Arabidopsis thaliana: one gene and its partners. The protein of the gene in region 2 purifies or fractionates together with the protein of the main gene of each other region. This does not show direct contact. Each region holds a gene or a part of one and is shown on either strand. Other genes may lie near its edges.

What was found.
Region 1: the proteins of SERAT1;1 (region 2) and OASA2 purify together in Arabidopsis thaliana (affinity purification with mass spectrometry, with the first as the bait; one study listed by BioGRID). This does not show direct contact.
Region 3: the proteins of SERAT1;1 (region 2) and CYSD2 purify together in Arabidopsis thaliana (affinity purification with mass spectrometry, with the first as the bait; one study listed by BioGRID). This does not show direct contact.

The regions. Positions count from the first base shown.
Region 1 is NC_003074.8:7,962,250-7,966,003, reverse strand, and holds OASA2 (O-acetylserine (thiol) lyase (OAS-TL)), read right to left. Parts: upstream 1,878-3,754; 5' UTR 1,814-1,877; coding exon of another isoform or gene 1,801-1,813; coding exon 1,756-1,800; intron 1,668-1,755; coding exon 1,404-1,667; intron 1,328-1,403; coding exon 1,291-1,327; coding exon of another isoform or gene 1,235-1,290; intron 1,231-1,234; coding exon 1,190-1,230; intron 1,111-1,189; coding exon 1,059-1,110; intron 904-1,058; coding exon 824-903; intron 734-823; coding exon 674-733; intron 520-673; coding exon 439-519; intron 346-438; coding exon 253-345; 3' UTR 97-252; downstream 1-96. Other genes in the region: AT3G22450 (Ribosomal L18p/L5e family protein), read right to left, coding at 2,626-3,561.
Region 2 is NC_003076.8:22,960,900-22,964,653, reverse strand, and holds SERAT1;1 (serine acetyltransferase 1;1), read left to right. Parts: upstream 1-1,940; 5' UTR 1,941-2,071; coding exon 2,072-2,515; intron 2,516-2,661; coding exon 2,662-3,156; 3' UTR 3,157-3,425; downstream 3,426-3,754. Other genes in the region: ET2 (effector of transcription2), read left to right, coding at 1-270; AT5G56770 (transcription repressor-like protein), read left to right, coding at 665-786, 899-1,301, 1,421-1,660.
Region 3 is NC_003076.8:10,026,824-10,030,577, forward strand, and holds the start of CYSD2 (cysteine synthase D2), read right to left. Parts: upstream 1,900-3,754; 5' UTR 1,728-1,899; intron 1,713-1,727; exon of another isoform or gene 1,357-1,712; 5' UTR 1,344-1,356; coding exon 1,305-1,343; intron 1,216-1,304; coding exon 1,048-1,215; intron 1,046-1,047; exon of another isoform or gene 960-1,045; coding exon 696-959; intron 605-695; coding exon 467-604; intron 388-466; coding exon 336-387; intron 143-335; coding exon 63-142; intron 1-62. Other genes in the region: DES1 (L-cysteine desulfhydrase 1), read right to left, coding at 3,670-3,754.

The DNA of each region.
Region 1 (3,754 bases), on a different chromosome or scaffold from region 2:
AATATTGTACCAAGCTTGGGGCTATTTATAAAGTAGATGTAGTTGTCCTCTCGTCACTGTTTTTGATCACACAAGATTTCAAATAGAGAGAGCAAAAACTCAACCAGAAACTTTCTAGAAATGGATTGTTCATAGTAGCAGACAAACTACTTTTGAGTTCTCACAAATGACAAGATACAGACAGAATCTGAAGATATATATGTTGGAAGAAAGATCATTTATTTGTATCACCAAGAAGAAAGGGGAACAGATTCAGGGCTCAAAGGTCATAGTCTCTGCCTCTTTCCTTGCTGCATCAAACAGTACAGTCGATAGATATCTTTCCCCGAAACTCGGAAACACCGCCTGAAACATTCAGTTTCACATCTCTTATTATAAGATCGACTCTTAAGCTTCCATGAGTTCACTGTTTGTTCTTTAGCTTTGGAAAAAACGTACCACTATAAGCTTCCCAGCATTTTCTGGCCTCTTTGCAAGTTTGATTGCTGCAGTAGCTGCTGCTCCAGATGAGATTCCCACCTACAGTACATAGGAGGAGACAAATGTGATAACGATCAAGGACCTGTTTTTATTTTCATGGTGAGGTTTGAATCATAATGGTGAGGATAAAGCTGAATCAAGACATTTTTGGCTTAACAGAAAAATCTGATGAGGCAAAATGTGAAGCACTTACTAACAGACCCTCTTCCCTAGCAAGAAGCCTTGCCATGTCAATGGATTCTTCACTTGAAACCTGCGTAAGCGTTACAAAACTATAAGAGGCAACTAAGAAATGTAAGGTGTGTTTTGGAGTCAGCAAGATGATATTGGTATGAAACCTTACCTGAACAACTTCATCTATAAGATCAACATCCAAAATGCCTGGAATAAAACCAGCACCTATACCTTGAATTTTGTGGGGACCTGAGCATTTTTACCAATGTGTTAGGCTGAAATTCAATGAATCTTGATATGAACACCAAAAGTTAGAAGGACCTCATAATGAACACTCAAGACTAACATGTGAGCAAAGTAAAAGAAGAAAAAGTGTGCCAAAGAGTTCCTTATTGAGGACAAACCTGGCTTTCCACCGGACAGAATAGGGCTTTCAACAGGCTCGACACCATACAGCTATAAGATGAGAAAACAAATGAGACAAGTTTTGAGTTTACTAAGAAAGAGTCTGATTGTATAAGTAAATGAAATTCACCTTTATGTTTGTGTTCTGTTCCTTGAGATACTTCCCAGCACCTGTTCAGGTACCACCAGTACCAATACCAGAAACAAAGCCATCCACTTTTCCACCAGAACCTTTCCATATCTCAGGTCCAGTAGTCTCATAATGGATCTGCAATGAACACAATACTATGTTATAAGTATCTGACTTCAAATCCACTAAGGCACTTAAACTAAATAGTAATTACCTTTGGATTAGCAGGATTCTCAAACTGTTGAAGCATATAACCATTAGGTGTTTTCGCCAAAATCTCCTCCGCCTTTGCAACAGCACCTTTCATACCTTTAGCCGGATCAGTAAGAATCAACTCAGCTCCAAAAGCTAAGAGAATGATTCTTCTCTCTATACTCATTGAAGCTGGCATTGTTATAACAAGCTTATAGCCCTTTGCAGCTGCAGTAAATGCTAAACCAACTCCAGTGTTCCCACTTGTTGGCTCAATCAACACACTCTAAAGAAAAAACTCAAAAGTTAAAAATCTCAAAAACTAACAAATGAAGAATCTGACTAATAGCTTCCATTTAAAAAAAAAAACAGACCTCTCCCGGTTTAATAAGTCCTTTAGCTTCTGCATCAGCAATCATACTATAACCAATCCTGCAACAAAAAAGAACAAAGTACAAGTATTTGTTTCTTTTGTCACTAACAGAGAAACTAGAAAACAGAGCTTTTAAACTTTTCGGAAGCACCTGTCTTTGACGCTAGAACATGGTTCCATCATCTCAAGCTTAGCAGCAACATGACCAACACAATCTTTAGCTACTTTGTTTAGATACACTAATGGAGTGTTCCCTATTAGCTGCTCCCAAATAATAAAAAATATCAATTAAAAAAAAAACATTTACTGACAAGACATAGTTGAAGAAAGACATAATCTTGGAGGTTACTTACTTCAGTTACATCTTTAGCGATTTTAGGAGCCACTGAAGCCATGTTTCAAGCTCACTGCTTAGATTTCACAAAAGAAAAAAGATGAATGCAATTGTTAAATATCATGTATAATTAATCAAAATATTCGATTAATATAGGATCATCTCATCATCTGATTATAGGTTTACAACAACAACAAAAAAAAAAAACTTATTTAAAACTTTTCATTTCACGCCAACTTTGTCCTGATCATGATGCATCAAAAACTTTCCAGATGAATAAACAAACCATGATATATATATCATCATACCTGAAAATATATCGATCTAGCAAATAAAAATCGGTGGGAATTGTGAACAAAGGTCGATCGGCTATGGAAGAGCAGAGAAGTTACGTATAAGAAAACGATGATATCATTGTTAGAAAGTCAACACTTTGACCCGACAAGAAACGTAGAAATGAAACGGATAACATTTTTTGGGCCCCACACAGAAACATATCTTCTGGGCCCATATTACAAACTAGAAAATTTCAGTCCTCTAGGCCATCATTAGATGACTAGTCTTCTTCTTAAGTTTCCTCTGCTTAAGCTTCACTTTAACATTAACACCATTGTCAATAAGAGCTTGAAGCACGACCTGAAGCTTACCTTCAATTTTATCTCCTTTCCTAGGAGTGTATATAACATCATGTATGTCATCTTCCAAACTTCTTTGAGCAAGAACTGCCCCAACCGCAGCGCAAGCTGCAACGTTTCTTCTCGAACCAAGATCGAATTTCATGTCTTTTGAAATCGAATGAGCCACAGTTACAACCTTACTAGTCACCCTGTGAATCACACATGCTCGTACAGACTCTTTCGAGATGTATATGTCTAAGCAAAACGGGTAGTGAAATGGCGCCGTGAGTTGGTTAAACGTAAATGTTCTTTCTCTCTTCTTCACAGCTTCATTAGGATGATCCGTCTCACCTGTGAAAGAGTCATTTCTCTTCTTGTATTCGTCACGAACTTCCTTCTTGTTATCCTTCTTTATCTTTGTTTCTTCTTCTTGGTTTTGCTCCTTTTTAGCGTTCTTGTGTTGATTCTTGCGGTGGAAGTCATAGTTGTATTCCTCGAATTCTTTTGAACCTCGATCGAGCTTGAAGAAAAGATCACCGCGAATTCTCATGTTATCGATTTCATCGTGATCGGGATCTTCATCATCGAGTATTGTTTCTCTTACTCCTTGTATTGTAACGGGAGAGTTTTTTGCAGTGTCTGCTTGGAACTGTCTCCAAGCTTGGGATAAAGATGATGAAACATGCCAAACATCATCATCCACAGTTTCTATACCACAACCACTCAAACCAGTCACTGTAACTTTACCACTTTCACTGTTGGAAAATCTCGAGGAGAAGCAACGCGGTGCAGGTCGAAAAACGGAGATAAAATCTGGCAAACGGAGACACTTTCTTCTCAAAACCATCAAAGCCATTGAAGGAAAAGAGACCAATTCTGAAAACGCACGTGAAAACTAAACGGTAAGATTTCAAAGAGACATATCGTCGAACATCTGGTGTGCAAGGTTGGTAAAGAGAAATTTCTCACCACTGGCTTTGTGTCTTGTACCGAAATTGAATCACCACTTTGCTCAATGAAGAAGAAATGCAATTCAACAGAGAACTGGT
Region 2 (3,754 bases):
GAGTCAATCGAAGAAGAAGCTTTGACTCGCTTCTGTGAAGCTACAACAAAGAATGGGTTACCTTGCACAAGAAGTTCTCCTAAAGGAAGCAAAAGGTGTTGGCAACATAAGGAGAAAACTTCCAGCGATACTTCGCCGGTATATTTTCAGCCAGAGGCAGCAAAAAACGTAGCTTGTGGAGTTAAATTAGGCAATGGATTGATCTGTGAGAGATCTCCGGTAAAAGGACGTAAGAGATGTGAAGAGCATAAGGGAATGAGAATCACCTAACCTCTGCATCACTTGTTTATGTTATTTGTTACCTAACCAGAATTGTTTGTACCAAAACCGTTTTGGTTTCGGTATTGGTTTGCTGAACAATCATCTGTACTGGATGACTCACAATCTCATTTTTTATAAATTTAAAATCAGTTTTGATTAACATCGTTGACTTGCATCTTTGCATTACATTAGATGTTTTTAGATTTAAAAATACATAGACCCGTTTCCCGCCATGCCTCCACTTTGTTACTTGTCCATGATGCGAAAAACTGTAAACGACCCATTTCTTTTTCAACTTCCCTTCGCTTCTTCCATATATCTACGATCGTAATATATCAGAGCTGCCTTCTTTCATTATTTTTCTGTAGCAGAACCGTTTTGTTCTGTTTTATTTTGTTTGACAATGTCGTTTGTTCTATTATCGAAGATGGCGAAGTTGAAGTTTAACCATATACGACACACAATCATTAGCACGCAAAAAAGCACAACCATTATGCCGGGGATAAGTCAGCTCTTGAACAATAGGTCTCTTATCATCTCATCTATTCACAATGTTGTTGCATTTTTATCCTCTGTTTTTTTTCTTACTATTATTGGTCCTTCAGGCTTTAAATTAATGGTCATAATGTATCACCAGATTGATCGGAAAGGAATTCAGTTCCGCCGTCCCCACTATGTTCAAGAGAGAAGACTACAAGCTGACTATACACGACATCGCATTCTCCAAATGGCGGAATCTTATAAGACACAATGATTGGAAAGATTTCAATAATAGAAAAGAAAGGGTCCGTAGATACAGACATGAGGACTTACCCCCTCAACGTTGTACGGGTCTGTATGAGCTCGGTGTAGGCGTCATCGGTCAAGACCAAGGCCAAAACTTTGATCCTGATAATAATGTTCTTGGTGTATATGTCGGACAATGTGTAGACGTAAAATCAAGACTCCAGGATTATGGAAGACGCGGTGGTCATTTGCCCTCGGGTTTATATGAGGACATATTCTCGGAAGGATACTCAGTTTTTTATAGATGGGCACCAGTAAATACATGTCTTCTTATCTTCTCTAGTTGGTCTGCTACGTATACACCTTTGATCCTAACTCATGTGATTGTTTCTCTGCTTTACCGTGATTTATCAGATGGGATCTAATTAAGTAGGAAGCTGCTGCAACAGAAGGGATGCTTTTGAGCACTTTTGATTATGCATGGAACACATGCAGTAATGGGGAACGACGCCATCTTGAGTTACAGAAGCTCGGTGACCCCGAGTTTATGAGCAAGAGAAAGTCACAAGTGCTAGTTCCTTCTATTCGAGACCAAGTTGTTACCATCAAAGTAGAGAAGAGTAATTATACTTTCCTCACTTCAACACTCAAAGTGATGAGACCATTTGGTTAACCGGAGTAAACCTACATCGACTAGGTCAAAGATATGGCTTTTGTTTCTCCTAAATTAATTGGATTGTAACCCACTTATTCACGTTTCAAATTTGTAGTGTTAGTAGTTAATTTGTATAGTTTCTTTTTTTTTTTGATCAAAAATTTGTTACGGAAAAAGTTTGGTAAGAATGTCGGCAGAATCACCACCGTCGATTAACGGAAAGATAAATCTAATCTAACGGTTATTGATAAAGCATAAAACTGACGGCTCCGATTTTATTTTCTAAAAATCACGTTAATCACGCACCAGGTGGACTATCATTGTCTTTAATCTATGGATTTAAAAATTTCCGCACGATTAAAGAGCGTCTCGAAAATTAACTTTTATAGGTAGGAGGAGATAGAAATCGAATCTTATCGCCGCGTTAATATGCCACCGGCCGGAGAACTCCGACATCAATCTCCATCAAAGGAGAAACTATCTTCCGTTACCCAATCCGATGAAGCAGAAGCAGCGTCAGCAGCGATATCTGCGGCAGCTGCAGATGCGGAAGCTGCCGGATTATGGACACAGATCAAGGCGGAAGCTCGCCGTGATGCTGAGGCGGAGCCAGCTTTAGCTAGCTATCTATATTCGACGATTCTTTCTCATTCGTCTCTTGAACGATCTATCTCGTTTCATCTAGGAAACAAGCTTTGTTCCTCAACGCTTTTATCCACACTTTTATACGATCTGTTCTTAAACACTTTTTCCTCCGATCCTTCTCTTCGTAACGCCACCGTCGCAGATCTACGCGCTGCTCGTGTTCGTGATCCTGCTTGTATCTCGTTCTCTCATTGTCTCCTCAATTACAAAGGCTTCTTAGCTATTCAGGTGAAATCTTCATCATTTGATCTGATGAATCCACAATTTCTATATCTTGCGATTTGATTTATGAATATTGTTTTAGGTTAGGTTAGGTTGATTCTTCAGTTATGCGAATTTCGGATCATGATTTGGCTTTGTTGAATTTGAATTAGGCGCATCGTGTATCACACAAGCTATGGACACAATCACGGAAGCCATTAGCATTAGCTCTACACTCAAGAATCTCCGATGTATTCGCTGTTGATATCCATCCAGCAGCGAAGATCGGAAAAGGGATACTTCTAGACCACGCAACCGGAGTTGTAGTCGGAGAAACAGCGGTGATTGGGAACAATGTTTCAATCCTTCACCATGTGACACTAGGTGGAACAGGTAAAGCTTGTGGAGATAGACATCCGAAGATCGGTGACGGTTGTTTGATTGGAGCTGGAGCGACTATTCTTGGAAATGTGAAGATTGGTGCAGGTGCTAAAGTAGGAGCTGGTTCTGTTGTGCTGATTGACGTGCCTTGTCGAGGTACTGCGGTTGGGAATCCGGCGAGACTTGTCGGAGGGAAAGAGAAGCCAACGATTCATGATGAGGAATGTCCTGGAGAATCGATGGATCATACTTCATTCATCTCGGAATGGTCAGATTACATCATATAAAGTTGTTGTTATAATTGTTTCTGTGGTTTTGAAAGTGAAAAACTTTCTGACCATTCGCTTATAGAGAGGTGCTGAGGTAAGTGAGCTTTGTTGTATTTGTAATTTACAAAACATCTTACGATGTTCAATACAAGAAATGGCCTTAATTTGATGTTATTATTCAATCATTAGTTATCCAAGAGTTTATACACTTCTTCTACTTTGTATTCGGGTTTGGCTCGGATTTACACTTGTCTGCATCCATTTTACGGGCTTGACAAACATCGAGGAGCATTGAACTTGTTCAGACTAAGTGAAGCATTCTTCGCCTTTACCCCGGTTCATGAGGGACTATGTTTTCGTCAACCGCAACTAATCCTTATGCGTATCTTATATCAGTATATAACTTACGGCTTCTGCAAAGAAGGATTGGTCTCCATTTCCATTTACAATTCAATTCAGACTAAAAAGTTTCAATCTGATGATCCAAATAGTTCAGGATCAAGACTGTTAAACCATTAAATATCAATATTAAGCAAAAACCAGATTCTAACTTGGTGAAATCAATGTGCTTGTAAGGCCAATTAGAGAACCAAAAACAAAATGCAAAATGAATTTT
Region 3 (3,754 bases), about 13 Mb from region 2:
AAGATTCCAGATCTTAGATTATTTGTTCAAGATCAAGAAGTAGATCATATCAGGCTACTTACTTGAATAATTTCATCAACAATGGTTAAGTCCAAATTGAATGGGACGATACCAGAGCCAATTCCCTGAATCAAATGTGGACCTACAAATATGAAGTCCCATAAACCGATATTATAATTAGAAATGCAAGAACTCGGACAAAAGAACGATGATCTTATAGATAACTTGGCGCGTATGTTAATGTTGTCACTATATATATGTACATTAAATCTCATACAAAACAACAAATCAATACTATATGTTGCATAAGATCTATCAAATGTTCATTTTCTGACCTGGTTGACCTCCGCTAAGTACCGGACTTTCTACTGGTTCCACCACACAAACCTATAAGATCAAGATTGTAACCGAGTTATTAAAAACCGAGTTTTTGGTTGTTTTTAAGCGTTAGTGAAAGTTTTTGTACCTTGATGTCTTTGTTCTGCTCCTTGAGGAACTTCCCTACTCCAGTAGCAGTTCCACCAGTCCCTACGCCAGCGACCAATATATCTACTTTCCCGGCTGAATCTCTCCATATTTCCGGTCCCGTGGTTCGGTAATGAATCTGCAAGATACAAACTTGTGTTCAATGAAGACATAGAGAGACTAAAAGCATATACATAATTGTGTTGGATGCATGATATTATTTTATCAACCTCGGGGTTTGCAGGATTTTCAAATTGTTGTGGAATGTAACCACCAGGAGTTTTGCTTAAAATCGCTTCAGTTTTCTCCAACATTCCTTTAAGGCCTATGCGCTGGTCCGAGAGATGAAGCTCTGCACCTAGTGCCCTCAGAATGATTCTTCTCTCTAAGCTCATAGTTGAAGGCATCACAAGGATCACTTTATAGCCTCTTGCAGCTCCCATGCAAGCTAAACCAATCCCGGTGTTACCAGCAGTTGGCTCTATCAATGTACTCTATAATCAAAAACAATTAAATTCCATCTATGTATTCTTTATAAATTATGGAGAAACTTTTATGATAACTTTAAATGTTCATATTAACCTTTCCGGGAGTAATCAATCCTTTGTCTTCTGCATCTTTGATCATACTATACGCGATTCTGTCTTTGACGCTAGAACAAGGCTCCATCATCTCAAGCTTCGCAGCGATACGAGCCACGCAACCATCAACAACATTGTTCAGATACACCATTGGTGTGTTACCAATCAACTGCACAAACATAGAAAAAGATTTTAGACATGTTCTTTGTATCATAAAAAAGCAAAGTGATACATATATAAGAAATTAGAGATTATTACTTCAGTGATATCGTTCTTGATCAAGCACCGATCTTCCATGTTGGTCTGTTTTCTGAAACTATTGAAAAATCAATATTTGGGTACCAACTACTAAAGAACAAAATGGATTTATGAAGTCCAATAACCATAGAATAAGATTCAAGAATCTAGACACAAAGCACAAAATACTCAATGGTCAAAGTTTGCTAACAGACTCTATTTACAATGCACAAGTAAGATTCAAGAACAATCTTGGCAATTTTTTGGTTATATTGTTTCATAACTAAAATTTTTAATATGGAACTTCTAAACTCTAAAGTAGATAAGAGACAAAATAAAAATTTAGTAAAGAACAGTGAAAACTAGATAAATTTGATACCAAAATCAAGAAATGATAGTAAGACTAAATCAGAACGAACAAGAACAAAAAAAAAAAAGTCGTACCTTTGCGTTTAAACGAATTATTAGTGAAGAAGACAAGGCTGTATTCTAGATTAGGATATATAGAGACTACCCTACTTTGCATGTGGTGCACACTGAACGATGTTGAAGTATGAAGACGAGTTTATGTCATCATTCTTGTATAATAATGTTAAAAATTTGACATCTAAAGAGTTTTTGTCATATTGCGTAATGAGAGCATCCAATAGTTGTATTTTGTTATTAAAACAAAATCTGCAGATAAACATTTAACACTATTATTAAAATGTTTAAGAGCATTATATTGTCCTTTTCTCTAGTACTAATCATGTGTTACTTATCCGAACGATCGAATAATATTACACCTAAGTGGTCACAGATCAATTTTTTAACCACATGATTTTCTTAACACAAATCAAATTTTCATAACCACATGCTTTTTCATTTTATAGAATACAATGTGTCGTTATAGTAAGTTAGTGACACAATTTGCTTGCATTGGTTGCCCAAATTACTTGAAATTGCAGAAAAGTTTTTTTTTTTGTATGAATGTAAAATTATATTCAACAAAAAACTGTTTTACAAAAGATGTAACATTAAGAATAAAAAGAATGAAAAAAACAGAACTACTTAGACAGTCTTGGGAATACAGTTTTGATTGGCCGCCTTCAAGCTTGGCAATGCCCAATTGGTGAATGGTGCTGAACATTTTGATCAATGATTTTTGGAGATTTTTGCTTCTTTTTTCTTTGGACAACTGTTTAAATTTTCTTTTTTGTAGAAACACACTTAAACATGTTCTTGACCAAGTGTAGTTAGCTCAATTGATAATTATCCTAGGTGAAATTTAGAGGTCGCCGGTTCGAGTGACACTTGGGACGAAACTAATATTACATGTTGTGGTTTCGGGCCTGGAAAGATTATGAAGTTCGGTACAAAACCTTCTGGTATTCAAAAAAAAAAACAACATGTTTTTGAAATGTTAGGTCCGAAGAAAACAAATAATCAAAAACTATAAACATAGAAGAGTCTCTCGTTTGTGCGGAGGGTTGTGGTATGTGTTTATTGAAGAAGACTCGGTACACATGAATTAGGGATTAAACCGGATTCGGTTCCGGATTTATTGAAGACCGTTAGTGAGTTAACAGAGTTAGCTAAAAGCTCTGTATCAAAACAAGCTCTAGTTAATGTGTTTGTATCTAATTTTCAATTCAATTACAAACAAGAGTCATGAGTGTTGATGTAGGGATCACACAAGTACGATGTTTCTCTAGGAAGAGTTAAAGAATCCGTCTCGGTTAACAGGCCGATGACTAGACGAGAATTTCTTGACTAAGGGACGTGGTATTGTGACGGAATGATCGAAACAGGATGAGATCGGCGATGTGTAGACAAGGCGAGGTCTTGGAGACGAGGTGAGGTCTTGAAGATGAGGCGAAGTCTTGAAGACGAGGTGAGGTCTTGAAGACGAGGCGAGGTCTTGAAGACGAGGTGAGGTCTTGAAGACGAGGCGAGGTCAATGGTTGTACTGCTGTCCTTTCTCTGTGTCAGCGGGAATTGCGCATTTCCTTTCATTCCTTTCCATTCTTGTACTTATAGGACCTGTCCTTTTAGGGTTTCCTTTTTATGCTTGTAAGTCTTTACCACTTTTTCCACTCTGCACAGTACATCTGTCCTCTTTGCCCTCTTCCTTTGGTCGATGGAACACTCCAGATCTTTTCTATCACTTACTGGGCTTGGTTTGGGCTTATTATGTTCATGGGCCAAAACCGACCATTAACAATGAGTAAGATTTAACGTTTGATTGTGACGGTCTAGCGATCGGATTATATCAAAATTAGTTAATGAACAACTTATAATTGATCATCAAGGAATATGTAACTCTTATTGATTTTACAATGACCTACAATAATCAAAATGTAACCTTGGTACCAACATCTCTTATTGAATCCTACGTTACTACTACTCATTCAACTGGCAAATTCTCAGCTTCATATCTGACTGACTCGAACAATTCAGTCGATAAATAACGTTCTCCTCCACTAGGAAAA